Linked DNA regions of Tamandua tetradactyla. The protein of the gene in region 3 purifies or fractionates together with the protein of the main gene of each other region. This does not show direct contact. Links are inferred from orthologs where the notes say so. Each region holds a gene or a part of one and is shown on either strand. Other genes may lie near its edges.

What was found.
Region 1: the proteins of PRKACB (region 3) and PDE4DIP purify together in Homo sapiens (affinity purification with mass spectrometry; 5 studies listed by BioGRID and IntAct, counting the BioPlex papers as one, with this or other methods). This does not show direct contact. The link is inferred for Tamandua tetradactyla from reciprocal best matches to the Homo sapiens genes PRKACB and PDE4DIP.
Region 2: the proteins of PRKACB (region 3) and AKAP11 purify together in Homo sapiens (affinity purification with mass spectrometry; 5 studies listed by BioGRID and IntAct, counting the BioPlex papers as one, with this or other methods). This does not show direct contact. The link is inferred for Tamandua tetradactyla from reciprocal best matches to the Homo sapiens genes PRKACB and AKAP11.
Region 4: the proteins of PRKACB (region 3) and CDK5RAP2 purify together in Homo sapiens (affinity purification with mass spectrometry; 4 studies listed by BioGRID and IntAct, counting the BioPlex papers as one, with this or other methods). This does not show direct contact. The link is inferred for Tamandua tetradactyla from reciprocal best matches to the Homo sapiens genes PRKACB and CDK5RAP2.

The regions. Positions count from the first base shown.
Region 1 is NC_135337.1:314,934-322,806, forward strand, and holds the start of PDE4DIP (myomegalin), read right to left. Parts: upstream 3,003-7,873; 5' UTR 2,882-3,002; coding exon 1,757-2,881; intron 1-1,756. UniProt on the Homo sapiens protein: Functions as an anchor sequestering components of the cAMP-dependent pathway to Golgi and/or centrosomes.
Region 2 is NC_135330.1:116,862,987-116,870,164, forward strand, and holds the start of AKAP11 (A-kinase anchor protein 11), read right to left. Parts: upstream 3,012-7,178; 5' UTR 2,622-3,011; intron 2,286-2,621; exon of another isoform or gene 2,173-2,285; intron 2,100-2,172; exon of another isoform or gene 2,081-2,099; intron 1-2,080. UniProt on the Homo sapiens protein: Binds to type II regulatory subunits of protein kinase A and anchors/targets them.
Region 3 is NC_135337.1:40,932,314-40,940,268, forward strand, and holds the start of PRKACB (cAMP-dependent protein kinase catalytic subunit beta), read right to left. Parts: upstream 3,013-7,955; 5' UTR 2,729-3,012; coding exon 2,542-2,728; intron 1-2,541. UniProt on the Homo sapiens protein: Mediates cAMP-dependent signaling triggered by receptor binding to GPCRs.
Region 4 is NC_135328.1:36,971,488-36,978,318, reverse strand, and holds the start of CDK5RAP2 (CDK5 regulatory subunit-associated protein 2), read right to left. Parts: upstream 3,020-6,831; 5' UTR 2,755-3,019; coding exon 2,699-2,754; coding exon of another isoform or gene 2,658-2,698; intron 2,560-2,657; exon of another isoform or gene 2,478-2,559; intron 1-2,477. UniProt on the Homo sapiens protein: Potential regulator of CDK5 activity via its interaction with CDK5R1. Negative regulator of centriole disengagement (licensing) which maintains centriole engagement and cohesion. Involved in regulation of mitotic spindle orientation.

The DNA.
Region 1 (7,873 bases), about 41 Mb from region 3:
TTGTTGGAAAGTAAGTACTTATTTAAATTGCACTTCAGGCAACGTAGTCTAACACACAGAATAAAAAGGTCTTGTCTGAAATTAGTAATCTTTGGCATTATTAGGACTGAACTATTTAAAACATGAGCTTCCTATATCTCTAAATTGGAACTGCATGAGATGATCTTTAAAATCCATCCCAACTGCAAAATTTGATGAGTCCAAGCCCCAAAAGATGGTATTTTTAATTAAATGTGGAAGAAAAAAAAAAAACATGATTTGCTTATAATTTTCCATGTCTTTACTGTTCTACAATATTGGCTATATGTGAAGGGGTAAAAAAAAAAAAAAGTATTTCCCATCCACTTGGACTATTTTCAGATCCTAATATGTAACTACTATATTTAATTTGTGACTTCTATGTCTTTCAGCTGTGAGGTGCTAATAAATGAAAAGGAAGTTATGGAAAAGAAATATGCATGTATTAGGCATACAAATACTGAACATTTTACACAAATAAACACACTAAAAGTTTTTGGCAGCAGGCAATAGTGGTGCAGTGGCAGAGTTCTCACCTGCCCATGCCAAAAAAAAAAATGGTTTTGATTTTTATACTTTTACAAGCACTCATATGCTGTGTCTGATAACTTTGTGTAATTTAATAAATTTTGTGTACATTTAATTGTGCAAAGTTAATAACTTTTCCCACATTTTTCTTATTGTGATACAAATTAATGTCCTCCACCCCCTCAAACTTTTTTTTTCGAGTGACAATCAAAAGTTTCATCTGTTATCAAGCTCTAAACTTCTGGGATGTAAAGGCATGGTTTCCAAAAATGCCTTTTACACTGTCTACCTTTAGTAGCACTAAAAAATTTGTATCAAAAGGAATGTACCAGAATGTTTCATAAAATTAAATGAACCTAGCATTTACTATAGCTATAGAAACAAAAATGCATCTGTCAGGTCCCCACACAAAGCTGAATTTAAATGACTGGTATGCAAACATTTGATATCTCAAATTAAGATCAACCGCTATTCTCTAGTAGTCAAGAAATTTGAAAAGGAATAATGGCATGGACCTCTTCTATCACACAGTAATAGGTGGATTCTTTCTTAACATCAAACCTGACCTAGAAGAGCTCAGTAGACAAACTGGCTCCTTATCACTGTAAGTAACACTACTTGAATTCCCACATATCTTTTATGAGCAAATCATCATTAGTCCTCGAATAACCTATTAATTATAATAAATCTTGCCCAGATGTTGCAATACTTTACTAACAGACGAATAAATTCTCCCCAAATCTTTCCCTTTTGCTCTAATCATTCTGAGGCATACCTGGGGATGAAAGACTTAATGCTCCAGAGAAGAAGTACACTAACTCCCTTACAAAAAGCCAAAGGAACAAAACATCTACAAATCTAAAAGAAAAATTAACAGAAAAGGAAGTAAGAGGAAAGATTTCTAAGGCAAAAAATGTAGTCTTTTTACAGGGTAAAATGTGCTATCTTTCTGTTTTGAAAGGTCCTGTCATTTTGGTATTTAAAAGGAAGGCGTGGATAAAGATTGTGAAAAGCAAATTATCTGAGTGTGAATCACATTTATTAATGGAACACAGGCAAAACAAATCAGCAAAAATGAGCTCAATGGCTAAGTTTCTCAGGTCTAGATTACTTACCTGCTACTAGACAGACTTCAGGTGAAGCCTGAGGTACTATGGAACCAGAAAGGCACTATCTAATCGGAAAGGCACTACATAACCATTCTGTATACCTGGACCCGGAGCGGCAGATAATCTTCACAGAGATCATCCCACAGCTCCTGCAGGTCTGCCAGCTCCCAGGGATAACCCACAGGCGTCTTGTAAAGAGGCTTCAAAGACCTGCTAAGGAAACCGGAACTAACTCCATCTGTCACCACAGGGCCCGGCTTGGCTCCAGGTGGGCTAGATTTCACTGGAATAGGAAGCTTGCTCCCTCGGGGGCTCTGAACGGGCTTATAATCGACACCTTTAATCATGCTAAGAGCTAGCTCCAGCTTGTGGTTACACACATGCGGTGGAGCCTGCTCGTCTGAACAACAGTCCCACTTTCCAAGTTCCTTTGCACTTCTCTCAGTTTCCTCCTCCTTCTGTTGTGCAGGGCTGGTCTGCACACCTGCATCCAAAGATTCCACAGAGGAAGCCGGGGTCTCCTCCTCCATGCTCTCTCCATCGGGGGGTACCTTTGTGCTTGCTAAGTCTGGGGGCCCAGCCTCAGACAAGGCTGGTTCTTCAGTGCAAATGCTGGCAGACCACCGAGTAGAGGGGCCAGAGGAGATACTTCTGGCCACCTTTCGAGGCACCTTACAAATGGCCTCATAGTCAGAGTCAGCAACCCGCAAAGCTGCACAGCCCCGGCATCTCCTGGGTCGGTTTCCAGAGCCTTCCAAAGCATGGCAGCTGTGTGGCTCCTGAATCTGATCCTCATTTTCTACCCAGCACTCAAACCCTGAATAGGCAAAGTCTTCCTGGAGCAGCGCCGAATATCTGACATCGGGCAGGCCGGACATGTCAACCGTCCCGCTCCCCGCCTCGGTCTCGGCGCCGGGGTCCTCGTTGTTCTTCCGATACATGCTGGCAATGCAGGACTTGAGGCGGTCCTTCTCCAGCAGCAGCTTCTGCAGGCGTTCGATGGAAAGCGCTTCGATCCGGGCGATAACGGTGTCGAATCTGTAGATGCGATCAAGCATGAAAGCACATTTGCTGCAAGCAAACTCGGCTTTGCCATCGCGGGAGACATCCCTGCCCAGGACGTGGGAAAGCAGAACCTGGAGGTTGAGCTTGGCGGCCGTGTGGAAGATCCAGCGCCGCTGGTTCCCACACAGCTCCCGGGCACAGATCCTGCAAGTCTCCTTCATCTCCCCTCCTAGCGAGGGCCGCGCTTGCCCGTGGCCGCGGTGGCCCGGGGATCGCTCACTCGCCCTTGGTTCCGCGCGGCCTCCCGCCTCGGCAAGGTCCGGCTGGCATGGCCCCACCCTGCAGGGCCGTACCTCGGGCTCCCGCGCGCGGCCTCCGGGGACCCCAGCGCTCAGCCCCGCCCTCGGCGAGGGGGTCGGGCGCGGGGACGCCTCAGGGGGCGCCTCAGGGGGGCGCCGAGTGGCAGCGCGCGGGACGTGCGCTCAGCCTGCCAAATCCCCTACAGCTGTCTCCGCCGCCGGCCGCCGCGGCCGCCACGCCCTCCGCTTCTAGAAGGCCAGCTTGTCGGGCCACCCGCGGCCGTCCGCGGCTGACGCAAACCCTCAAAGCCTGGCGATCCGATTTCAAGATGGCGCCGCCCGCCCCGCGCCTGCGCCGCCGTCAGGGTCCGCCGGGAGCCGGAGTCCCGGAGGCTGGCGCCAGCTCTGCGCATGCGCGCGGTGGGCGCGCTGCTCAGAGCAGACTGGGAGGACCTCGCCGTGGGTACGCTGTGGCGCCCCTGCCCACCGGCGGGCCGCTTTCAACTCGGCAGCCCTCCCCTCACGGACCCTCGCGCTGGGACGCGGCGGGGCCGCTACTCCGGCGGGGGCCGCCTCCCCGTGCCACCTGGTGCCGCCGCGCGCCGCCCCTCGGCCCGCTCGGCCCGCGGGGGTGGAAGGCCCCGGGGCTGTCCTGGTGTGAGACCAGATGCGGCGAGGAGGGCAGGTTTTAGCAATTCCGTGCACCCCCTCCCTCGATTTTTGGGAGTATCCAGAAAAGGGAGGACAAATGCTCGCCCCCGACGCTGAGGGAGCGAGGGCTGGCCTTCACGCCCCCAGAAGAAACCGGAAGGGACAAGACGACGGCCGGAGGGCGAGTCCAGCACCCCCCACGTGAATGCAGCTGCTTAGCCAACATGATGCAGAGAATCGAAGAGGAAAAGGGCTTTTTCCGGAACGCAGATACCTGAGAGTAGATTGCTATCACCTGATTCTCTTTCAGGTCCAAGTAGACAAGGTCCAAGACGGTCCTGCCTTGGGGGCGGGGAGGGGACAAACGAGAACAAAAGATGGAGCTTCTCTGAGCGGGAACGGAGACTGTCGCGGAGCTCAGATCTCGGCACGAAGAGCGTTTGGAGTTTCAGCACGGTCAGGCAGTACGCACAGTGCTGTCCCACTCCATGCTTTACAGTTGTAAGCCCTTCCACCTTCGGATACAGAACGTGGAATGCCACAAAAAGTGGAGGGAGACCGGAGCTCTGGCGGGGCGGAATGCAGGTGTCAAAGACCACTTAGAATAAGGAGGTCTCTTTCCGGTTGGAGAGGCTTGCAGGCTCTGGACACGAAGAACAGAAACCTGCTTCAGCAATCACCTGGAAGTCCTCCAGAGCGTACACTTCCTAATTGTAAAATAATGGTAAATTCACTAGCTTGACCTTGTGAAATGAGGTTAGAAAGGCCCAAGTATTTCTAAACCTCATCCCCAGGACAGAACCCACACTCAGTAGTCTGGAGGTATGCAAGTCTTAAATGGGAACTCAGAGTAAACTTCTAAATTCCTTATCGAGAATTAAATGAGATGGTTTGGAGGGAAGAGCTTTAACAGTATTTGGCTCATTAAATAATAGCTAATAATTTAATATAATGAGATTATTTTAAACTAATTTAAAACTTTATAGGGCTCTGCACACATAAAATTGTGTTCATCTCTCATTACTTAAAAGAACATCTGATTGTTCCATTGTGAGAAAGAAAGACAGTCCTTAGAATTTTGCCGTTATTAGGCTACAAAACTTTGTATTTGTCTTATCTAAATATTACACCTCTGGCCCTAAAACCAAGACTGTAAAATAGAGTTCCAAGAAGAACTCATGACAACTGCACTTTCCCCTTCCTCTGGGTAGATGAGCTTCAAAGTGAGAAGAAATCAAACAACAATCTTTGGAATCTATAGTGATCTTGTTTCCTGGACTTGACCTTTCTGACAGACAGACTAGGCAGCCTAATAGGATGCTACTACCCCTGCCATACCCAATTGTAAATACTGTCCTAAAGAACAGTAAGAATTCAAAGGTCCAGAAAAGTGCATAAGACGTTATTAATCAAGACCTCATCTTTGACAGTCAATGCAAGCCACATTTGTCCTATTAGAACACTGCTAATGAAACAAAGTAATTAATAAAACAAAGTGCCCTTCAGGAGCAAATTGTGAATAATACTTTGTATTATGCTCTGTTCCTTAATAGGATTTTGCATCTGGATGATAGTCTCCAAATTTTAATGACAATATACAGATGACTTGGTGTATAAGAAGTACAAGTCAGTACAAATAATGGAAAGGCAATTTACTTGAGAAGAATATGTTTGATATACTCTCAATATACTAAAAGACAGAGCTATATATAACTAGGCTTCCAGGCATAGATAAGAATAAACCTCCTGACAGTCAAAGAAAAGACAGAACTCTTACAGACAGAACTCTGTTCACGCCTAGAGAAAAATTTTTAAACTGTACCTCAATGCAAATAGCAAGATACAGTAAATAGAACTAGTCCTACCATAATCACTTGGCATTGTAAGATAATTTAATACCAACTAAAAGGTCTGATGTGCAGATAACAAAACTTAAAAATAACATTTAGGAAAGAAGAAAAACCATGGAGTAATAAATCCAGTTTATGGTCCTTAGTATCATCTTGGTTAAGATTTTGTAGTCAGTCAACGCTGACTACCTGTGCTGAGCCAAGCAAAATAGGGCTGAAGGGGGACATTTACTTTTTATTCTATGTACTGTGTAACATTTGAATTTTGGGCAATGAATGTATATTCATGTATTGTCTTTAAAATTAAATAAATTTAGAAAATATTCTAGACTTAAAATTAGAATAGTGCCAATTTGACACACTAACAGCAGAGTCAAAGTGGTAAGACTTGAAGTTGAAATAAGAATTTTTGTAATATATATGATGTATGTGTGTACAGGACTTGTATAACCAGAAAGTTCAAAGGAAATATAAGGCATTAAATGGTGATTATGTCTGGAGTGGAATTATGAATATTTATTTTCTCCTTTCCTTATTTGTGATAAGTATCAGAAAGTAATTGTGAAGTGGAGATAGTGTGAGAATTGGTTGCAAAGGACACAGACGAACTTTCTGGGGTGATGAAAATATTCTCTATTAGCTTTTTAATAATGGAAATGTTCTCTACTTCCGTATCTATACATGGGCATATACAATTGTCAGAGTTCACTGAGCTGAATGCTTAGAGCTACAAATTTTATATATGCTAGTATAGTTGAATAACAAAGGTTAAAAAGAGTAAATAAATATAAAAATGCATACTACCCAAAAACTTTTAATCTGAAGGGTTTCTTTGGCAGAAAGTAATCTCCTACTTTAATTTAAAAATGACTTTGAAAATTAGGAAGACAAAATATAGCCAAGAAGAAATTCTTACAGTTCTATCCCTGCCAACTTTGGAAAGTGTTATTCTATGCGCACTTATAGCACACATGACATATTTATGATGCAGGCAAGGCATGTTTTTAAGATGAGACTTAGGGGCTTTCATGATGGCTTAGAACAGGATGATTACTTCTGAAACTATCAAACATAAATAATAAAGGAAAACAACAGATTTCATGTCATGATAAACTACTATGAATTAAACGAATTATTAATTATATGTGTCAGCAATTTGCTTACAAAATTGGTAGATAAATGCATTCACAAGCACTTACTACCTGTATGTCCTATGTCAAGTCACTTAAATATGGCCATTAATTTCCTAATCTACAAAATAAAGTTGTCTTGAAATTAAACAGTGGTTTTCACACTTTAAGATGCATCGGAAGTGCCTAAATGGCCTGTTAAGACACAGATTGCTAGACCCTACTCCCAGAATTTCCATTCAGTAGGTCTAGGGTGATGGCCAAGATTTGCATCCCTAACAAATTCCCAGGTCACGCTGATGCTTCTGTCTGGAAACTACACTTTGAAAACCACTGAACTTAGAACTATCCTAAATGGTAATCATAAAAATCTCTGTCAAAAATAAGAAAGAAGCTCTTCAGGTAAGTGGAAACACTCATCATGAAGAGTTACTTACATGATCTATTTGAAATTTAGAGAACTATATCCCCATCTGGAGCAATATTCCTAAGCCTTACTGTGGTAGGGGTCTTTTGCATTATCTCCATTTTGATCTCTAGATTTTGGGACCTGGGAAGTATCAATGAGAACAATAGCCACGTTTGTAACCCCTGTGTGGCAACAAGGTTGTAGTGTTTCTAAAATCTAATTCTGGGCTGGAAGGGAGTTTCCAAGAGAATTAGAGGGGTGGAAAATCCCATGTCCCAAACCAGTTGTATCAGGTTTCACTGCCCTAGTTATGAAATTGGAAACAGATGCTCTAATTAGTAAAAACTATGCAAAAAAAAAAAAAGAAAGAAAGAAAGAAAAGATTCTGGCAGAGAAGCTAAGGCAGATGAGAAATGCAGGAAATCAAAGTAGAGCCAGCTGTGCTTTGTGATAACACAAGTATGTATGTGATTTCCCTGTGCTGGTTGGAAATCTTAAAGAAATCAGAAATAGTCATATTTTGCATTAATAATATAGCATTTCAAAACACTTGTTTAAAACCAGATTTCCAGTTCAACTATAGATTGCAATATTATGATCATCAGCAGAGTTCATCTTAAAATAGTAAACATTATAGTCTTTCAAGTTAAGTTATTAAATACAGTTGTTAAAGCAATTTTTTTTTCATGAACAGGCATCGGGAATTGAACCCGGGTCTCCACCATGACAGGCAGGAACTCTGCCTGCTGAGCCATTGTGGCCCACCCTGTTAAAGTGAATTTTAAAGTATATGTTAAACCAAGCAATAAGCAAGAATTTACGCAAACAGTATATCTTTTCTCTGTCTTCAGTGAACTTTTAATTTAGTTGAACA
Region 2 (7,178 bases), on a different chromosome or scaffold from region 3:
GTAAATATTTAAAAATAAAATGAACTTTTATATATAAGGATGAATGGAAGAATGAAGACATTCGGATCTGCCGAGTCTATATTTAAATTGATAATGTATTTTCCTTCCTCTTCCCCACATATCAGTTTATACACCCTTCACTTAAGCGCAGGCTAAACAGATCTTTTCCTCAGCTGTCCTTACCCCCCATTCTCTCCCAGTGTTTTACTTTATTACCAAAATGCAGTCCACTCCACAGAAAAAAATTAACCAGCTTACCAACCTACTCTCCCCAAAGTTACCTCACACTTTTCAAAGAAAGACAAAATAACAAGTATCTACATTCTAAAAGTTTGAAACCAAAAGATAAAGAACAGCAAAGCTTCTATTTTTCTAACTCTGGAATCAGTCTGCAATGGTGGAATGGGAGGGAACTTTTTCTAATCTAGATTGAGTACTTTTGCCCATTCGCAAATTTCCTAAGTTTTTCATGTTTGGCCAAGTTTCGGGAGAAGTCTTCTGCCCACTTATAAGTGGAAATTTCCTTTAGAATTACCTATAATGTACCATTTGAATTAGTTTGATTTCCTTACCTAGATAGTAATTCCTAAAACTTAAAAAAAAATTTTTTTTGAAGCATTACGCTTTTTCCAGCCTCTGAAGGCAAGGGAATACTTTAGTTTCTAGACTTCCTCCGGGAGTTCAGAAGCTAGAGAATTTCTCACTCTGGTTTTGGCAACTCCTATATCCTGAACAACTTGGAAATATCACTGTCCTAGGAATATAACCCTAGGCAGGCTCTCATCAATAGTGCAGTTCAATGGGGATATACACGAATATATGCACCAGTCACTAGTTACCAACTCAGAGTATATTCACCAGATGTGAGTTACCAACTCCACTTAAGTATCCACTTCTTTCCTAAATCTCTTACACACTCTGATCTCTCAAAAACTACCCTATTACAGTTACAACCAATCATGAAATTCAGTGTCATCCCTGGGGTCACATTTTGCCTCAAGAAATACATGAATAACAAATAACTGCTTGAATGAGCATGACTGTGTAATAAAAAAGATTCATTAAATTGCACTATTTTAACTGACACCAGTAAGTGCTGGGCATTTACTCAAAAATTATAAACAAGGTATTACAACAAAATCTTCTCTGTATTACTGAGCAGCCAATATTTTCCGAATATTTTCAGACATATCAAAATAAAGGTGGGGAGAAGCTAGGGACAACTTAGGTGCTCTGCAAGGTACTGACCAAATAATTACAAAAGCAGAAAGAGAATCAGAAATGTGAAGTTTGTTTTGCACTGAGGCCATTAAATATGCATCTCAGCAATATTTGTCATCTTGAAATTCCTCAATATTTCAAGATAAACCACCTCAATCTAATAAGGCTTAAGAGGAGAGGAAAAGAATTACTAACAAGTTCTATCACTGTGGAGTTTAGACTTTACTGTCATTTGTCCTTTTGCCAATGTTTGAGCTTTTTTTTCAGTTTGGTTATATCTACAAATATATATATATGTATTTATATGCATATATATATATATATATCTACACATAGAGAAAGAGAGAAAGAAGGCAGCTTAGATGCCTGGAATACAAGTATACACAGCCCATTCACAATACTGGATGGCCTACATTTAGGCCACTAACGGCATGAGAGAATTTTAAAGCAAATCCAAACGTCAGTACTCTGATGAGCTACTTGACGCCTTCCGTTTCAGTCATAAGATTTGGGCTGTGCCTGGTTCCAGAGCGCAGGGCTTCTGACAGTGAAGGATGCGCTGACTGGGGACAAAGTGCAATGTCCTTCTCGTGCATACGCTCCTCGTGAATGCACACGACACAAACAAAACACACGCACCGGTACTCACAGAGAAGCCCCGACTCTGACAAACACGCCGGGGATGGAAACTGAATCTGTCATTCAAAGGGACAGCAGCCCCACGGCCACGGCCCGAACGCCAGGGTCCCCCACACAGCCGCGTGCCTCTGGCGTCCTCCCTCCGCCTCGCTCCCACCGCCCTCCTCCCACCGCCGTGAGAAGACGCAGCTCTCCAGCGGGTCCGAACCGGAACACGCACCGGCAAAGCGGCTCCATCCACTCCGACCCCAAAGACAGCCGTTACCCCCTCAACCTGCCGCCTGCGCCGCGGGCGGTCCGCTCCCGGCTCACCTGGGGGCCGCAGCCTCCGCAGCTCACAAGCATGTCACCGGCCTGCAACGACCAGCCGCGCGAATGGGGCGAGCAAGAGGGAGCCCCCTCCCGCACCGGCTCCCAGCCTTCCCCCTCCCCACCCAGCGGCCCGCCCCCGCTCAGCCCAGCCCAGCCCACCCCCTGGGTTTCCGCTGCAGCCGCGCCTGACCGCAGCACTGCCTACGGCCCACGCCTCCCACCCACTCTCGCGTGAATGCACGCCTCTCGCGAGAAGAACACCGTGGCCAAGCCCGCGCAAAAGTGGGTGGGCTCTCGATAAAGGAAAGAAGCAACAGGGAGAACGCTTCCCACGTGCTCGAAGCTAACCACCGGACCGGCCCTGCCAGTCACGTGATATGGAGACGGCCTCTCATTGGCCGAAGCCCGCTCAGCCGTGGGAGCTTTAAACTCGAGGCTGACCTACGAACCTGCGGCGGACGTCTCGCGTGCTTCCTAGTCCGTTGGCTTGGAAACGGTTTAACCCTTTGCTCTTGCAAAAAGCCTCGGCCTCGGCTCTTCTCCGCAGGTTCGTTTTTCGGCCTAGTGTCTTTTCCTTCGACCCCTTAATCTCACCCCCTAGGCCAGCGGGGCATCTTCTTAGCCTCAACGTCAACTTTGCTTTCTTGTGACGCTCCGGGGTTTGCCAAAATCGACAGTCCTACCAGATCTGACGGTCCAAGGAAGGGCCCATCCTTTCAGGGTAGCCCCGCCCCTTCTCCCCAGCATCTCTAGGGAGGACCACTGAGGGCGCACCGGGCCCTTGGCCTATCCTAGCCGAAGGAGTTAGCATCCAGGGATCACCGGGCCCTAGTGCTCTCCTTTTCTCCTTTACGTGGTCACGAAAGCGGAACGAAAGGCGTTTGGCCACGGAGAAGCCCGGCCCTAGAGGAAAGCTGATACGCTTTAAACAGCCGGAATGCTTACAATGGAAGGACCGGTTCAGTCAGGTTGCACCTGACTAGGGCACCTATTCCTCAAGGGTGGAATTACCTGACGGATGAGAAATATATTTTTAAACGTATCCTCACTATGGTTCATGTTCTGCCCTGTTTGTGTGGCGCTCCTAAATATCTAGGCACGACTCTAGGCTGTCGATTGAGCAACGATGATGACGTATTGTAATAACCTAATTTCTAGGACGCGTATCTGAAGGGGAGAAAAAAGATAGAAAAATTATCTGTCGGTGTCAATTGCTATGAGAAGAAATTACAGTAGGCGATGTGATGGTGACTGATTGGATGGCTACAATAGGGACGACCCTTCTGAGGAGGAGATAGTTAAACAGTTTGAATCATAGTCATGCAAAAATCAAAGGGAAGGATATTTCACGCAAGAAAAGAGCTTTCAAAGCCTCTAAATTGGGACTTGTTCTAGTAGGTTTGAGGAGGAAAAAATGAGAAAGAGGAAATGAGCTTGGAGGGGTAAACATGAGGCAGATCCTGTAGGGCTTTGTAGGTCAAGAAAGAATGGAAAGCATTTTTGAGTTTTAAGTAGGGTTTACATTTTTTCAGAAGCTCTTTCTAGCAGAGAATGGATCTTAAGGCGCCCAGAGCAGAATGCAGGGAGATCAATTCGAAGATTTGTAGTCTGGGTGACAGCCACTGGTGACAATCTTAATTTCCAATGACCTTGACATTCCTCTTTTACAAACCTTCAGATTAGAAGTCCTGGTGTTATTTCCTAACTTTTGTTTAAAACGCATTGATAAAGCATGACTTATTGGTATTTAAAAAAGGAGAAAAAGTGGGGACTTTTTTTTATTATTACTTGCAACAAGTAGCAACCAAAAAAAAAAAAAAAAGCCATTTTTTACCCTGATTTTTTTCCCTCCGCGCAGATTCCCGCACAGGTCAATTCTAAGATACAGGAACATAAAGTGATGTTCTATGTAGGTACTTGTTCCTAAGTGTATGATTTTAAAAGTTTGAGGTTGAAGGTTGGAAAATCAAGAGTGTGCAACTACAAGAAACAGGAATCTGAATATTTGAGTTCCAACTCCATGCCCTGTCATTAACTAGTGACGCAACTAAATCAGAGGATCTTATCTTCCCTGAGTCTCAGCTTCCTCATGCATAAAACAAGGCACTCTAACTGGCCTACCGGCAGCAGGGTGAAGCCTTGGTTACACTTTGGCAAGTACACACCAGTAGGACGGAAGCTGGAAAGGAAAGTGCAATGAATTTTTATAAAAATCTAACAGAGCCAGCAGCACAAGCCAAATGAAACTAGACACACGCACACCAGCTGAGGAATTATGAAACTGATTAATACAGATACCAGGAATACTTCCCTAAGAAACCTTGGCCACCTCAGAGTGTGAAAACGTAAGCATTGCCACCTGCTCAACCTCATATTCCCTTTCTCTGTAGCTATTTTAAACCTAAGTATTATTTTATGAATTATCATTCACATGTTCCTAATCAGAGTTTAAAGAAGTAAATGGAAAATAAATGTCAAAAAAATCGGAGACAATATCAATTTTAATGAGAGCAAGAAATCAAGAAACAGGTCATTTTTTAAAAGGGAGAATGATAAAACAAAAAAAAACAAGAAAGAAAGAAAAAAGTATTTCAACAAATTAAGACCATTCTTTTGAAATGCTAATCAGGCACTTTTTTTTTGAGTCTCTTTTAGAGCCCTCATTAATGATTAACTGAAACAGCTGCTTAGTATTGTTAATTTAGATGATCAGTGGAGTTCAACTCTACCATTCAAGTAAGAGGCATAAATTCCCCCAACTCAGTCCAGCAGGACAGTCATGGTGTTCTCTCCTTCTACAGTTCTTTGGAGTCAAGAGAATATGAAGAAATGAGACTCATTTCTACGGATGTCCCTAGCTCCAGTTGCTTTTAAAATTTTCTTTAAAAAAAAAAGCTTTATTGAGATAGAATTCACATACCTTACAATTTACCCATTTAAAGTGTGCAATTAAATGTTCTCTAGTATATTCAGAAGTGTGCAACCATCACCACAATCTAACTTTAGAACCGTTTGTCCAGCCTAAAAGAAACCTGGTACCTATTAGCAGTCAATCCCTCAACCACTCCCAGGCTTAAGCAACCACTAGTCTACTTTATGGCTCCATAAATTTGCCTATTCTATACATTTCATATAAATGGCATCATGCATTATATCGTCTTTTATGTCTTTCACTTAGTATAATGTTTTCAAGGGTCATCCATGTTGTAGCATGTGTCTGTATTCCTTTTTATTCTCCAATAAAATTCTTTTGTATTGATAAACCACATTTTATTATCTTTATCAGTTAATGGGCATTTGGGTTGTTTCCACTTTTTGGCTAAAATGAAAAACAATGCTATGAACATTTGTAGTACAAGTTTATGCAGGTGTTGCTTATTCTTTTTAATCCCTTAAAAATACAAGACATTGTGTGATTGTGAAAACCTTGCATCTGATATTCCCTCTGTCTAGGGTATGGACAGATGAATTAAAAATATGAATAAAAAAACGGATAATAGGGGGAACAAAAAGTTAGAATATATTGAGTAGATGGAAATACTAGTGATCAGTGTGAGGGAGGGGTAGGGGGTATGGTATGTATGAGTTTTCTTTTTTCTTTTTGTTCCTTTTTCTGTAGTGATGCAAATGTTCTAAGAACTGATCATGGTGATGAATATACTACTGTGTGATGATATTGTGAGCCATTGATTGTACACCATATATGGAATGTTTGTGTGTTAAGAATGTTTGTGTATGTTGTCAATAAAAACATTTTTAAAAATACAAGACATTACATTTAGTCAGTTCACAAAAATCCATATTTCTTTTCCTAAGACATAACTTTGCTCCTAGACTTTGTCATTTTTTCCTGTTGTTTGAAGTATGTACGTATTATCCTCAGAGAGTTGGCATTTCTTCTCAAGCAACTCACACCTGACCGTAGCACTCCCCTGCTTAAAATCTTCTGATGGCTTGTTATGGTTCTTGTGATCTACCTAACATTGTCTTTTCCTCTCATATCCTTCTGCTCCTCAGACTCTCCTTTCAGCTCCTCAAAACTTGGCCAGCCCCTCCCTGCCTCAGAGCCTTCTCACAAGCTATTCAGACTGTATGGAATGTCCTTTCTCTGTCCATCCCCATTAGCCTGTGAACATCCAAGAATATTTAACTTTCAATCTACTTTCCTTTCCTCGGGAACTCTTGTCCTAACTCCCCAGATTAAGTAAACTTCCCCCTTATCTAGACTTCCTACTTTTTCTTCAAAGTATGATCACAATTTATAATGATTTTTATTTGTGAGATTATTTAGCTAATGCCTGTCTCCCTCCTCCACTAGACTGTAGGATCTGTGAGTAGGGACCACAACTGTTTTGCTTAGCAGTGCCTGGCAAGTAGTAGATGCTCAGAAACTATTCATTGAATAAATGAGTGAATGAATTGATGAATGAAAACATGAAGATGGGATGGAGTCTCATGACATCCAGTTATCCCTAGTCTTCAGAACATTATGAAGTCATATTAACTCACTACTACTATCATGCCTGCCTCTGCATGTCCTCAGACCGATATCTGTCAAGGTATGGGTAAAACGTTCTCCTTCTCAAAAAAATATGCTTTTATCAGAATGTATTATATAGGCAAAGGTGTGTTAAAATTAACAGTATTACTATTTCTCCAATCTTTTCTGAGTATGTCACATTAACCAAGGATGTTCTAAGTGAAAGAATACCAGCTATAAGTAATAGTCTTTGCAAGTCAAGAGGTTTCCAATTACTGGCTTTTAATGAAATTGAAGGAGACTCTAATTGAGTTTCCTCCAAATAGACCACTAAAAATAATTAATTTTTAGTGAACAATTACTTTGTACTTTTGGCATCTAACTGGGAAGGAGTTCAAAAAATTGTGTGAGATTGCTGTAAGAAACTTCCATTCTTTCTATTTACTTAAGTGTTAATGGTTTGTCAGAATTTATATGTATGGAGTGGAGAATAGAAATAGAATTGATGTTGGAGTCTATCTCATGG
Region 3 (7,955 bases):
AAACCCTATAAATATCAATACTGCCATTTATTTTGACTCATAACAAAAAGAATTCCTCCATGGCTTTGCATTGAACTTCATATTCTTACATTAATATGGAATCAACGATTAAATACTTCTGTTACAAATAGAAATTCCTGTTACTTATTTTAGTAGTAAAAGATGAAACACATTAAAGTCATCTGGAAAAACCACTATTGTTTAGCATTTATTCTTTATCTTTTCATATATGTCATCGGATAAAAAAGAAACTTGGATTAAAGTTACATTTCACCTCTGCTTATATTGGCAAATAATCTTTACTCAATAGTTCATAAGCCTAATTTAAAAAGAAAGCTACATACAATTTCTATGCTTAGTGGATTTCTTAAAATAACACTTTTATAGTGCTTATCATCAAGAATGTTTATCATCAAGAGATACTACAGTCTTTTTCTTTTATTAAACAAGTCATGCAAGCAAACTGCTTTAAGTACCTTTGAAGAATGTGGTCTGTATGCAAACCTTATATGGCCAAAACTCCTACATCTCACTCTATAAATGAATAAAAACTTGTTTTTTCACCACGAAAATAAATCTTGGAATTTCAGAACAATAGGAGTCTTCTGTTTCTGCTGTATCAGTGTTTTCTCCTCTATATAAACACATTTCCATAATAGGAAAATACAGCTCCATGTTTCCCATATCTGCCATTATATATGTACTTATTGCGTCTATTATGATCTTTTTGTGATATGAAAGAGAGTAGAATGGAGGAATACTTAATTAATGCACACTGCTACTCTTAAAATATTTCTTATATCATGCCTATTATTTGCAGGGATACAAGGCTTGCACCTAATTTTTAGGTTTCATTTTACTTGCATACAATGATTCACATATATTATTTTGTAACTTTACTGTGAAGAAAAATGATAACAGCATTTTGTCAGTCTGTCTTTTCCTAAAGAAATTGTGGCTCATGATACTGTATCTTTTATTGTAAGATTTTAAAATGTGGTTTGGAAAACATCAGAGAGCCCATACAATTTTAAACATGGTGAGAGTATATTCAAACACATATTTTAATTATTAAAAGTCCATGACACTCATTCATTTATGATGTACTTACTAAGTAACTACTATATGGAGGAAGAAATATTAGTGAAACAAAACTTAATACAATATTGTCCTCAGTCATCATTTAACTTTAGACTAAAAGGTCTTTGGAATGCACAGAAATGATTTCCAAAACAGCTTAGGAGACTGCAATTTAACCGAACAGGGCAAGCAGAAAGAATGACAAACTTTTGTCATGTGGAAAAATTTAACAATGTACTATTAATCCAACAGACAGTAGTTCATGAACCTGGCAATTTATGAGACTCCTCTTCCATCAACTTCATACACAATAAGGACTAAATGTAAAAAAATCAAACCCTTTGAGTGAAAAAAAATTTTGCAAAAATATATGCTGTTCTTCATTTTCTGCCTTGAATAGTTTGGCAAGGGCAAAAAAAATTATGATGCAGTAAAAAAATAATAATTCAAATAAGCCTCTATACGACTATGAAGGTGCTATAAATATATAAACCAAGGGGCAAATTTTGTGAACTATTTGTATTATTTTTTTCTTTTTTTTTAAACTAAGTTTTCTTCCTTAACTGCTAGGGAATATATAATCAGAAAGAGGCAAAACCTATGCTATTTGATGATCAAACAAGCATACAAAAAAGGGCATGGTTATCAAGGGCAATTCTCTTGTTCCTTTAACCCGAGTGACAAAAATACTTTGGGAAGGATACAAGGTGAGATGTGGAATGGAGGCCCTGGCATTGTTTATATATTTAATTAATCTTTTAAAGTGCATACCACCAAAAATGGTTTCATATAATCATTTTAACAAAGCAGCTAAGTCCAAACATTTTAACATGTCTGGAAAGAATGTGATGTATGCATTAACAGCTTTTTTTTTCCATTAGTCATAATTATAAATGACATAAAATCATGATACATTTTGACATTCATAATGTTTTAAGTTTAAGATTTCACACCAAATAATCATATTATGATTTTACTTTAGTAAGCCCTACTTGTAAAACTGAAATAACTTTCATCTATGCACTTAAAAATAAATGATGGCAAACAGAAATTAGTTATACATTCAGGAGTCTTCTTGCCCCCTTTGAAGGTTAAGACTTATAAATCCAAGATCTTTTAAAAAATACACTGAGCATTGTTTCTAAACTTTAGCCATTCATTTTTATATAAGACCAAAAGCAAAAACAAAAAAACAGTAGCATACATTTAGAAATGTTATAAGTATTTTGCAGAAAATTTTCCCACTAACAATCAACTTATAAACAAAAAGTTGAACTGCATGATGCAGCTCAACATTTAATCAAATTTTTATGGAATTCTTTCAACTTCATCTCGCAAAATGCTCTGTGCAAGCCATAAAAAGACAAACAAAACATGGTTCTTTATACATTTGATTCTAAAGCTCTAATTCCTGCTTTAGTTGCTAGTTATAATGTATCATAAAAACAAAACAAAACTTACTTGTTCTGTCCCATAAGGCAGTATGTTCAGAGAAATGAAGGCTGTCATTTTCCAGAGCTGTTTTCTGATCATGTGCAGTACCTTTAGAGTGTCTATGAAATAATCGGCTAGCAAAACCTTCCAATTTCTGAAGAGCATTAGTTGTACCTGTACACTGGTGATAAGGTAGTTCTCTATAAGCTGCCATTCATCTGCGTTTACACTTTACTTAAAGTAACTGAAAATATTTCCAGAAGGAGCTCAACAAGTTCTTACACAGAAGCTGAGAGCTATGCATATGTCAAACTTCCTGTTTGCAGGGTATTCAAACCACTACTGCTATTCTGTTTCCTGTTAATATAAAACAGCACATTACTGAGCCTTTCTTAGCAAAACTTTTTCTAACACAACTACAGATGATGATCTTAAAACTTGAAATACCTACCTAAAAGTCTCTACATTTAAAAGTGTCTTAATATTAATATCAATATACATATTAATGAGAGTATTCATACTAAAGTCTTATACAGACAATAGGCTGAAAATTAAAATTAAAAAAAGATAACTACTTGAACATGTATTACCAACTCTATATAAATAACTGAAGGTCAAACTACCCTCCAAATATAGCATGATAAAAACAGAGATATTCTTTTTTTCCAGGAAGTCAGCTAATATACAGAATTCAGGTATTCTTATAAACAGAAAACTTTTCACTGAAAACTGCTATGGAATGGATATGAAACACCCTTGCAAAAAAAAAAAAATATATATATATATACCACACCTGTTATAGCTAAGAAAACATATGAACTAGGATGTAAAAAAGAACTGGATATTGCTAAATCATTGGCATAGGTCTAGTTCATACATAGGAACTACAGAAATAGTATGTCAATATTGCTTATCAAAGATAATCCACTGATAAGCACATGACAACCAGCAGTATACTTTAAAACATTCTAAATTTCGGAAAAATAATTAAATATAGATTTAAAATGATACAAAATCAGTCATAGCAAGAAATTTCAAGTGGGAGAAAAAAATTCCTTCTAATTATCTAAGACACACATTTTTAAACCTAAACACTGAAGACTACTGCTTACCTGATCTCTGATTTAGGGCTCTCACTTAGGAACATTTCTTTCTAATAACATTTGCTAAGTCTATTTGTAGAAAAAAAAGAATCCTGTGGCATTTAGCAATGATTTTAAGCATGTACCTTCTGAGACTGACAAATCAGAGGACGATAAATTGTGTGGTTCTCCCTTTGGAAGCTCTAAATAAGAGCCACAAAAATGAAAAATCTTTAAAATAATCTATTTTAAAAATATATTGGTACAGATTTCCTGTCAACTCCTTGACAAATACAATAAATAGGACCAGTAATGACTAATAAAGAGGAACAATAATATAATCATTTTAGGGCTACCCAAACACACGCACACAAACAGAGCTAGTGTTTACTAATGAATATTGCCAAATAATAGCTCATTAGTGTACAATTTGTTTTGTGTAATAAAATTAGTATCAAAATTAACAAGTAAGCAACAGTATATCTAAGATAAAACAAACCTATAACTTTATAAATATTGTATGTACAATACATAATTCGCTTCTTTACATCTCACAGTGCCTTACATAAAACAGACATTAGTAAGTGTCTGCAGACTTGTAATAAATATCTATAGAGTACTAATTGGTCTAAATAGGCAGAAAAAGATAGAATTCCTGAATCCCTTTGACTTGCTATTTTGGGGAAATTCTATTCATCCTCAAGACTGACCACAAACATTACCTCCTCAGTGAAGTCTACCACAAACTATAAAGACAAAATTATTTTCTCCTCTGTTTCTACTGACCTTATAATTTCCTGTTAGAAAATTCGTTGTTTATGAAACTGCAATGAAATCATTACTTGAATTCATAAATGAAATGAATGAATTAGTTACTCAATAAATACACATTGAACGAAGAAAGTTTATGCTCATTTTAAACTATTCAAAACATGGTAGGATCCTCAAGCACTTGAAAATGTTTTAGTTTTATTTATGATAGGGCCATATTTGTAAACAATTCAGCAAGCACTAAATTGTCCATATATGAAGAGATGAAGTCATAGTAATAGAAGTAATATCACCGAACATCTCCTTTCCCTCATATTGTCAGTTATATTTTATTTATTCCTTGAGTTCCATTTTTACCCATTTTTATTTACCATATTTTTATTAGTGCAGATGTGAATATCTAAAACAACCATTTAATTGGTCTCTCTTCTTCCAGTAACCCCCTCCACTCATTCAGCCCTCTGCCATATTAATTGCCCCCAAATATTTATTCCATTGGCAAATGCAGACTACTCTTAACATTTCAGCTCTACCTTTTTCATTTTATTATTTATTTGCGACTTATATTCAAAGTAGTGACTCACTACAAGAAATTTCAAATTCCTTGCTAAAACACTAAGATTAATATATTTAAAATAATGGATAAGTATTATAACAAAAGTAATTGCAATAGTTAAAAAAGGGTTAAGATGTGTATCTCTAAAATACAAGATTTGATACCTATGTATATTTTTTTTTATCAAAACTGTTTCCATTTGTTACTAAGATCTTAAGGAAAGCAGAATGTTCTGCCCTAGGAGCAATGTTTCTAAATATGGAAATGTGACTAAGAAGCTGTTGCTGTGGAAGAGCTTAATCAGTTTGATTTTTATTAAAAAAAAAAGACGAGGAAGAAGAACTCTACTGGCATCTACTGCCAGAAAGAAACAACTACAGTTTCAAATAAAACTATGAATTCTTTCATAATTGAAATAAACCTTAAGTATGAATTCCATCATAATTGAAATAAATTTTAAGTATACTGTTTGATACAGATGATATCCTCATATTTTTAATTTATATTAAAACCTCAAGCAATGCACCCAAAGTTTGCTGTAAAAGCATATCTTTTGGTGAAGCTGTGGATTTAAAGAACAATCATGCATAAAATAAAGGATTCCCATATACCACCCTATTATTAATATCTTGCATTGGTGTGGAACATTACAAATGATGACAGCACATTTTTATAACTTCACAATTTATAGCCTGATGTTCCAAGGACTAAAAAAAAATTAATTCTGCTACCATACATACAACCTAACATTTTGTCTTTTAACTGTATTTAGATATATATTTCAATGCTGTTAATTACATTCACAACTTTAGGCTACCATCACCACCATCCATTACCAAAATATCTCTCTCACTGCAAATAGGGACCTTGTACATTTGAAGACATAATTTCCCATTCCCTATCTCCATCCTGTTCCCTGGTAACCTGTATTATAGGTTCTGAGTCTATGAGTTTGCTTATTCTCATTATTTCCTATCAGGCGGATAATACAACATCTGCCTCTTTCTGTTTGGCTTATTTCACTCAAAATGATGTCTTCAAGGTTCATCCAGGTTGTTGCAAGTATCAGAACATCATTCCTTTATATAGCTCAATAATATTCCATTGTATGTATAGACTACATTTTGTTTACTCCTTCATTGGTTGATGGACACTTAGCCTGCTTCCACCTTGTGGCAATCGTGAATAATGTCTCTATGAACATCAGTGTGCAAATAAATACCTGTTTGAATATGCTTTGGATTCTTTTCAGTATATACTTATTAGTAGGATTATCAGCTCATACAGTAATTCTATACTGTTTTTTGAAGAACAATCAAACTGTGTTCACAGAGGTTGTACCAATTTATATTACCAAAAGCATTTGAATGAGTGTTCCTATTTCCCTGCATCTTCTTCAACACTTGTAATTTTCTTTTTTTAATAGCATGGGCTACCATATGATCCTCTCATATTTTTCCTCCTAGCTACTCCAGAATATAGGACAATAGAGGGCTTAAATACTTTCTTACAATCACAATCGAGGTTTTTCCTTCTTTTTTTTTATGAACAAGAACATATATACAAAAGCTATAAATTACAAAGCACAGCACAACAATTAGGTGTGGAACATATTTCAGACTTTGACATGGATTACAATTTCACAATTTTGGGTTTTAACTTCTAGCTGCTCTAAAATACTGTAGCCTAAAAGAGATATCAATTTAATGATTCAGCATTCATATATGTTTGTTAAGTCCTATCTTCTATGTATAATTCCACCATCACCTTTGATCTTTCCATGCCTCTCTTTGGGGTTACTTGGGTTATGAAAATACTAAATTTTTGATATTGGAAGGGTATGTCACTAATATGGGGTAGGGAGATGGAACTACCTGATGTTCTGGAGAGGCTGGGCTAGGTTTCAGGACTTATCTGGACCATGGACCCATTTGGAGATTGCAGATTTCTAGAAAGTTACTCTAGTGCCTGGAACACTTATGGAATCTTATATATTGCCCCAGTTGTTCTTTAGGATTGGCTGGAATGGTCCTGGTTGGGGGTTGGCAGGTTATGATAGGATATGTTGCATAAGAGCCACCTCCAGAGTAGCCTGTCGACTCTATTTGAATTCTGTCACTGATACTTTATTAATTACACTTCTTTTCCCCCTTCTGGTCAGGACGTAATTGTTGATCCCACGATCCCATGGTACCAGGTCTGGATTCATCCCTGGGAGCCCTCTCACACGTTGCCAGGGAGAACTTCTCCCCTGGTGTCATGTCCCATGTTGGGGGGGGGGGGAGCAATGATTTCACTTGCAGAGTTGGACTTAAAGAGACTGAGGCCACATTTAAGCAACAACAGAGGTCCTCCAGAAGTAATTCTTAGGTGTGCCTTTGGTACCCTAAGCTTCTCTGTTACCTACATAAGCTTCACAAGAGTAAGCCTCATGATCGAGGGCATGGCCTAGTGATTTGGTTATCACTAAGGTTTGACACAGTATCAGGGGATTCCCTGATGGTAAGGTTTAATAGTTCCATATTCTTTCTCCTCTTCCTCAGGGGACTTTGCCAATACTTTTTGATTATCTGCTTAATATACTCTAGGATGTTTCCAGGCTTTACAACAACCTATACAGGATTAAAAGACCTCTTTCTTATTCTATGCTTTCTGTGTTTCAGTTGCTCAAATGAGCTAAACAGATAGGTTGAATTAGATTATATATTACAGAAAATTTCAGTTCCAGATCAAATAAACCTTTCTTCCACTGGTCTTAAAGATTATGTGTGGTTCTAAAATATAGACACTGTCTTCCTTACCCCTGTGTTCTAAATTACTTTAACCCCAACCTGTTCGGCTTCGTTCATATCTCTAAATTTCAAGTAATATAAAACAGCCTCTCAAAATCCAGAAATAATAATCACCACTCCGGACTTAATGTGTCTGCTTTAAAAGCTTACGATCTAAGCCCCTGTTTTCTTACGAGCATTTTCTAAAGGTGACCAAACTACTGCTGTTGTTGTTTTTTTTTTTCTGGCTTATTTTGTCTC
Region 4 (6,831 bases), on a different chromosome or scaffold from region 3:
TCAAGACCAGACCAAGCAAATAACTGGAAATACCATAAAAGTTCAATATCAGGACAACGAGTAGATAAAACGTGCCTGCTATAAAGCAGAACATGCCTTCAAATCCTGTTTGGTATCAGGTAAACTATAAATACACAGCAAGACAAAGGAAATGTACTGAAATATTAAAAATAATCATCTGTGCGAAAATCACAGATGTTTTTCTTCTTTTTAATTTTCTGTAAGTCTCAATTTTCTGCAGTAAGCATCACTAGAGGGATAAAGTCCATTTTCCAAAACAAATTTTAAAAATTAAGATCAAAGGCAGGCCATGGTGGCTCAGCAGGTAGAGTTCTCGCCTGCCATGCTAAAGACCCAGGTTCGATTTCCGCTGCCTGCCCGTGAAAAAAAAAAAAAAGATCAAGTTCCACTACCACCTTTTACAGATGGTGGACCAAAGGCCCAAGGTTATTGGCCAAGCATAGGCTGGAGTCTGGTCTCTATATGCCCAAGCCAAGATCAATCACAGCTGAAAACTACCTAACAGGCAAAGTCAAACAATTTGATCTTAGGCAAGCTACCCAAAGGCAAACATTAAAGTCTGAAAAATAACATCTGATATCCCAATTCTTAGAAGAAACCCACCATGTAATGAACAAGTTCCTGTTTGGTTCCTGCCAAATTTCCACTTAAAGTTAGGCTACCAACTTTAAAAATGTTATGAATCTCTGACCTCTGCATCCTCCAGCTGGTTCCAATTAACACCTCCAGCCAGGAGCAGTTCCTCTGTCCCTTGTGAGGTTCTCTAAGCCTGATAACTAAGGTTGGGGCCTGAAGGATTTTTACTAGAAACCAAAATAATGAAAACAAAGGAAGAAAACTTAGATACGATTTTATCATTGTACGCATTGGGAGCGGAGGTCCAGGGAGGAGAAAGAACCTCAAGGGTTAGTGGCAAAAATGAGGCCAAAATCCCAGTCTCTCAGCACCCTTTCCACTCGCTGACCCTGTGCCTAGACCACCCAAAGCTCCTAAATGGATATGGCATGCAGTAGGGTAAGTTTCCTCGTGGGCAAAATAAAGTATAATGATCACAAAAACCTAACCAGAACGGAGCACTCCAGTACAGGCAACCACGCTCAGGATGAGACAACCTCCCATTTAATCCTTACCACAGCCCTTCTGAAGTAAGTGGTATTTTTTAAATGCTGCCACTTTTTTTTTTTAAACAAGCAAACAGGTCCCTCAATTTAATAAGCTAAAAATCCCAAACCAGCTTGATTTCAAACACCATGCTCACTACTCTGGCAACCCTAACATTTTCAACTGGGTTGTGGTGAAGACAGCATGAAGTAGGCAGAGGACTTAAAGCACTTAGCACAATGCACAGCTACAAAGGCAGCTATTTGTTGTATATTCGTTGAGGGAAAAAATGAACCCTTGCCTGAGCTGCACCATCCCCTTCTCCGATCTCACTCTAATGGCACCCAAAAGGAGTTATCTCTTTCTGTGCTTAAGTGGCAACAACTGTTCATTCACACAAGACCCAAGGAGAGCTGTTTCATTTTTAAAGTGTCCTGACAGCTCTTGGACGGGACTGGACATTACATTCAGACTTACAATTACACTAAGTGTACTTCTGTTTGTAGTTCAACAATTCACTTTCCTTTCTGTTCCCTTCTCTTAATCAGAGCAATAATACATAATTATAAGTCAAAAAATACAGATAAACCTAAAGTTCACCTAAACTTAAAGTTCACCCTAACTACTCCTCACCCCTATCTTAAGACGCAAGTACTGTTGTCAGCATATTCATTCTTCCAAGCCTTCTTCTGTGTATTTACACACTTAGAGAAATAGTTTTATTCTGTGATTTAAAAAAAACATAAATGCCATCATACTGCACATATCATTTTACATCTTCTTCACACACGGTGTCCTAGAGATGTTTACATGTCAGTACAAATGAATTTACCTCAATATTTTTAACTCCCACAAAGCATTCTACAGCACTGTTTTTCAAACTTTACTGACCACAACCCTTAGAAGAAAATATATTACCCTTAATTCTTGAACTATTTCTATTGTTCTACTCGATTTTTTTTAACCTCTGGCTACAACCTACTAAACTGAATTTCATGACCACTAATGGAACACAAATAGTCAGAAAGACACTTTTTAAACAACGATTATTTTCCCACTCCTCTACTGATGGACAGTTTACAAGGCTGAATTTGAATCCAATTCTGTCTGACTCCAGCCAATACCTTAACCACTGCACTCCATCGCCTCAGTCTCCATAGTCCTATGAACAAAGTCTGGACATATGGACTACACTTCCCATAAAGAAAGCAAATCCCCAACCCTGAATGAACCATAAAATCTCTTCAAAGGCCCTACTTAAGACGCCATATCCCCCACGGAGCCTCCACTTATGGCACACTCCAAGAGGCCCCCTTGTCCCGCTCTTTCAGAAAACCACTTACCCGTCCTTCACACCCTCCTCAAAGTACGTCTGGAAATATCAGAAGCGGGTGTGTTGCAGATCGGGTCCCCCAGGAATCCCCACAGTTTCAGAAGGTGAGCTCCCTAAGAACAGCCCCACCCTCACCCCGCAGGCAACCCACCCGACACACTACCCTGTCAGGAGACGCTCACACGCACACACAAGAGCAAACCCAAAGATTCCTCAAGGCGAATCCTGGAGCCCGGGCCGCACCTGCAGCCGCTCAGCGTCCCGGGGAGGGTGACGTTCTCCTCCAACGCCGAGTTCATTATGGGCACAAATGCGGTGGTGGCGTTAGTGACTGTGGTAGCGGCGCCACTGGTTCCCGCCCCCACCCCCACACTCCCCACGCTGGAGCGACCCGCCGGGTTTCCCGGGTCCCCGCCCCCTCCAACCCAGCTCTCGTTCGAACTCTAGGGGCGCCGCTGGAATTCAAACCGCAGCAGCCGCCATCTTTCCCCGCGCTTCTTCCTACGGAAACGAGGCGGGGTCCCCGAAACGCGCGAGATGAAGCCGACCGGCCAAAGCTACAGACCGGGCAGGGAAGCTCAGGCTGGCGCCATCTTTACTAAGGGTAGGTCATCCGCACCCTAGGAGGACTAAAAAAAAAAAGAGGGTTCCGACGGCTCTTTTTTTTTTTTTTTTGGTGAGGGCACTTAGGCCGAAGTCAGGGCAGGCGCCATCTTTGTTGAGGGCGCATAACCGTCCCGGTCGTTAATTTAAGCGGGAAGTGGGATCCTGTCTCTCACGGACCCACAGAGTTTTTAAACTGTGTTTCCCTTTACAGAATGATGGCTCCACGTCCAAAGGCTTTCGCCTTAATTTTTTTTTTCTTTTTTGCATGCGCAGGATCCGGAATCCAATTCGAGTCTCCGGCATGGCAGGCGAGAACTCTGCCACTTAGCCACGGTTGCCAGTCCTTTCGCCTTAATTTTAAACTCATATAATCGGGTGCTGCCTTGCTTTGGAAGAATCCTAAATGTGGAATCCCAACTCAAGTCCTAATTTGCGTAATTGGTTTGAAGTAAATAAGTTTATCTCTATGAACCAAGAAGTGCTCAGCGACACTCCCACTCCAATCTCTCACCTAGTGATCCTTTATTATCTTTAGGGCTCAGCACCTAAAATCAGTAAACTGAGGCCCAGAGGGAGAGAATGGCTTTCCCAAAGACATACACAGTTAAGTCTGTCGACCTAGGCCGGATATGCGGCCGCTGCCAACTGGTTCATGGCTCTCTCCATAACATTGACTGTCTCTATTTAAGCACACATCTACCACTAAACGCCTAGATAATTTTGACGAAACCTGATCAGTGAAATCAACGTTCCTCTCCCTATCTCAGTGCTACCACCTTCCTCTGCAGGTTGTTGGGAAGAGTAGTGGATGAAAACAACTTGAAAAAATGGGTGAGTTGGTAGGTGATGACTTTCCCTATATCCATAAATAAGCCCCCTCTTGGCCTTAGTTTCATCATTCTTCGATTTAAATGCCATGTTCTAAAAGAGGCCTTCCCTGATCCTCCAGTATAAATAAGGTCCATTTCTTGTTCTTAGCACCTCTTGTTTTGCCTTGGTAGCATCTACCAGATTTTGCAATTATGTATTTATATGTGTGTGTGTGCATTTCAATCTTTCTGTTGCATTAGACTGAAAGCTCCATGAGGGTAGAGACTGTGTTTGAATTGTTCACTGCTATATTCACTACATATAGCATATATTGGGCCTGCTACCCAGTATGTGTTTTTAAAAATGGTAGGTGAATGAATGATTCAATCACTCAATCTGGAAAATGGGGCTAATATCTATCCTGCAAGGTTTTTGTGACCACCTGAGATACCTTTAAGAAGTCAGTCAGTGGTAATTGCATGTTTATTCTCTCTCTCTCTCTCTCTCTCTCTCTCTCTCTCTCTCTCTCTCTCTCTCTCTCTCTCTCTCTCTCTCTCTCTCTCTCTCTCTCTCTCTCTCTCTCTCTCTCTCTCTCTCCATTCCTCCTCTCTCCCTCCCTCAGCTTTAGTGAGGCCCATAAGCCAACGTCTGTCCCTTTTCCTTTCCCAGTTCTTCAAGCACCCCAGGATCGATCTAAAAGGGAGGGAGGGCAAGAGCCAGTTGACACACCCAGTGTCCTGCCCCAGATAGGGGGCAGTCCTTGAAGCTTAGAACCAAAACTCTTTGCAAGTGCTAAGGCCAGAAGATAAAAAAGTGCATCCAAAGCAAGGAAACTGGAATGTCAGAATAGCCACACTGGTTTTGTTACCAACTCTCTGTGATATTTGGCAGACCACCTCTTATCTCTGAGACTTAGTTTCTACATCTGTAAAATGAAAGGGTTGGACTGGATGGACCTTTCAGGCTCTCGCAGTTTTGGAGATGATTTCTCTGTTTTTATTTCAAAGCTACTAACACAAAACCAATTATTTTTTTGGTGAGAGAGGCTAAGAGAACAAATCATCACTTCCCTATGAAAGAACAATTCAGTTCAATTGTTGAAAGCTCTTAAGAAAGGAAGCAAGAAGATAGCTTACTTATTTTTGAGTATCTCTTATGTGTCACCAGGCATATAACCGTCATTTAACCCTCACAACAAGTCTCTGGAATAGGTACTACTAATATTTCCTTTTATTTACAGAATGATGAGAAAACTGAGGCTCAAAGAGGTAAAAATAATTTACTGAAGGTCCCATTGCTGGTTGGTATAAGTGAAAAACCTGAATTTAAGCCCAAGTCGCTGACCTCCAATGCCCTAAGTATAGATGCAACCTGTCTTCCCTATTTGTTTTTCTCCACTTTTGAATTTGGGTCTAAGAGGTGAAGTCTATATCCAGACAAGAGTATTTCAGTGCTGCATTCATGGGACTCTACCTTTAGTAGCTTCAAGGTAGCTAAGAAATCAATCTTAGTATCAGCAGTATGATTACAGGATTGTACATCCTGTACAGGTGTATTACAAGTCCGTACACCTGATTTCTCTATCTGGAAACTCCTCCAACATATCTGTGAGCTGAGGTCCCTTTCCCTGGCTGGAGCTTTTGTTTTCCTATGTGTAAAATGGGGAGGACAATGCCAAGCTCACATGGATACATTATCTAATTAGATACATTGATAACTATCAAGAAAAAGAGCTTGTGAGTTATTATGATTAATCCATTGCCCTATTCAACAAATGACCGTACTCCTGCACTATGTACTAAGCCCTTTAATGACCCTGAAAACTGAAAATAGAATAATTTGCACAAAGGATAGACTATTTAGAAAGTTGTTTTTCCTGCTATTTAGTGGTTTCATGGTCAGGGAGAGAGAGGTCTCACCATGACCTTTCAGTCAAGCTTAAAGATGATGTCACCACCAACTGTTTGTACTATCTGGAGCCATCTCCTTGACAACAGCCACCCAACCACAAAAGCTGGCATTTTTATTTCCCTGGGCAACGTCACATCAAATGGCTAAAGCCAGTAGCTTGGAGCCAGATGTTTCTCATTAGGATAGAGAACACAGCTCAACACACATGAAGTGCCATTTCTAAAAACAACGATAACTTTTTGCAGGATAAATACATGCATGTTGGCACTTTGCACTGTTTCATTTTATCCTCATGAAACCATGAAATCGATTGGAATGATTTCCATGTTCTAGAGATGAGGAAACTAAAGTTCAGAGAAGGGAAATGATTTGACCAAACCCACAATTATTTTGGTTTGGTTTTTTTTCCTACTTAGAAATAATTTCAGACTTAGAAAAAAGGAATTCCCCATATAATCTTCACTCAGCATCCCCAAATGTTAAAATCATAACTAACCAAAGCATAATTGTCAAAAAGAGTAAATTATGTTGATAGATTTTCTAATCTACAGACCTTATTTAAATTTCATCAATTTTTCCATTAATGCTCTTTTTCCAACCCAGGGCCTCCATTGTCAATACATTGTCACATCTCCTTAGTCTCTTCCATCTCTTTTTCCTTCATAATGTCAATCCCATTGAAAAACTTGCCAGTTATTTGGGTTTGTTTGATGTTTTCTCATGATTACATGCAGGTTTATATACTTTTTGTGAGAATTCCATGAAAGTGATGTCATGCCCTTCTTAGGGCATCATATCAGGAGGTACATGATGTTAATATCTCATTAATTAGTGATATTGTGTGTGATCTCTTGGCCAAGGAGTGTCTGCCACATTTCTCTATGTAAAATTACTATGTTCCCTTTGTAATAAGAATTTTGTGGGGGATACTTTGAGGCCCATGTAAACACTTGTTTTTCATCATAATTTCACCCACAAATTTTAGCATCCATTGATGATTCTTGCCTGAAACAATCAATACTGTGGTGTTTGTCAAATGGCGATTTTCT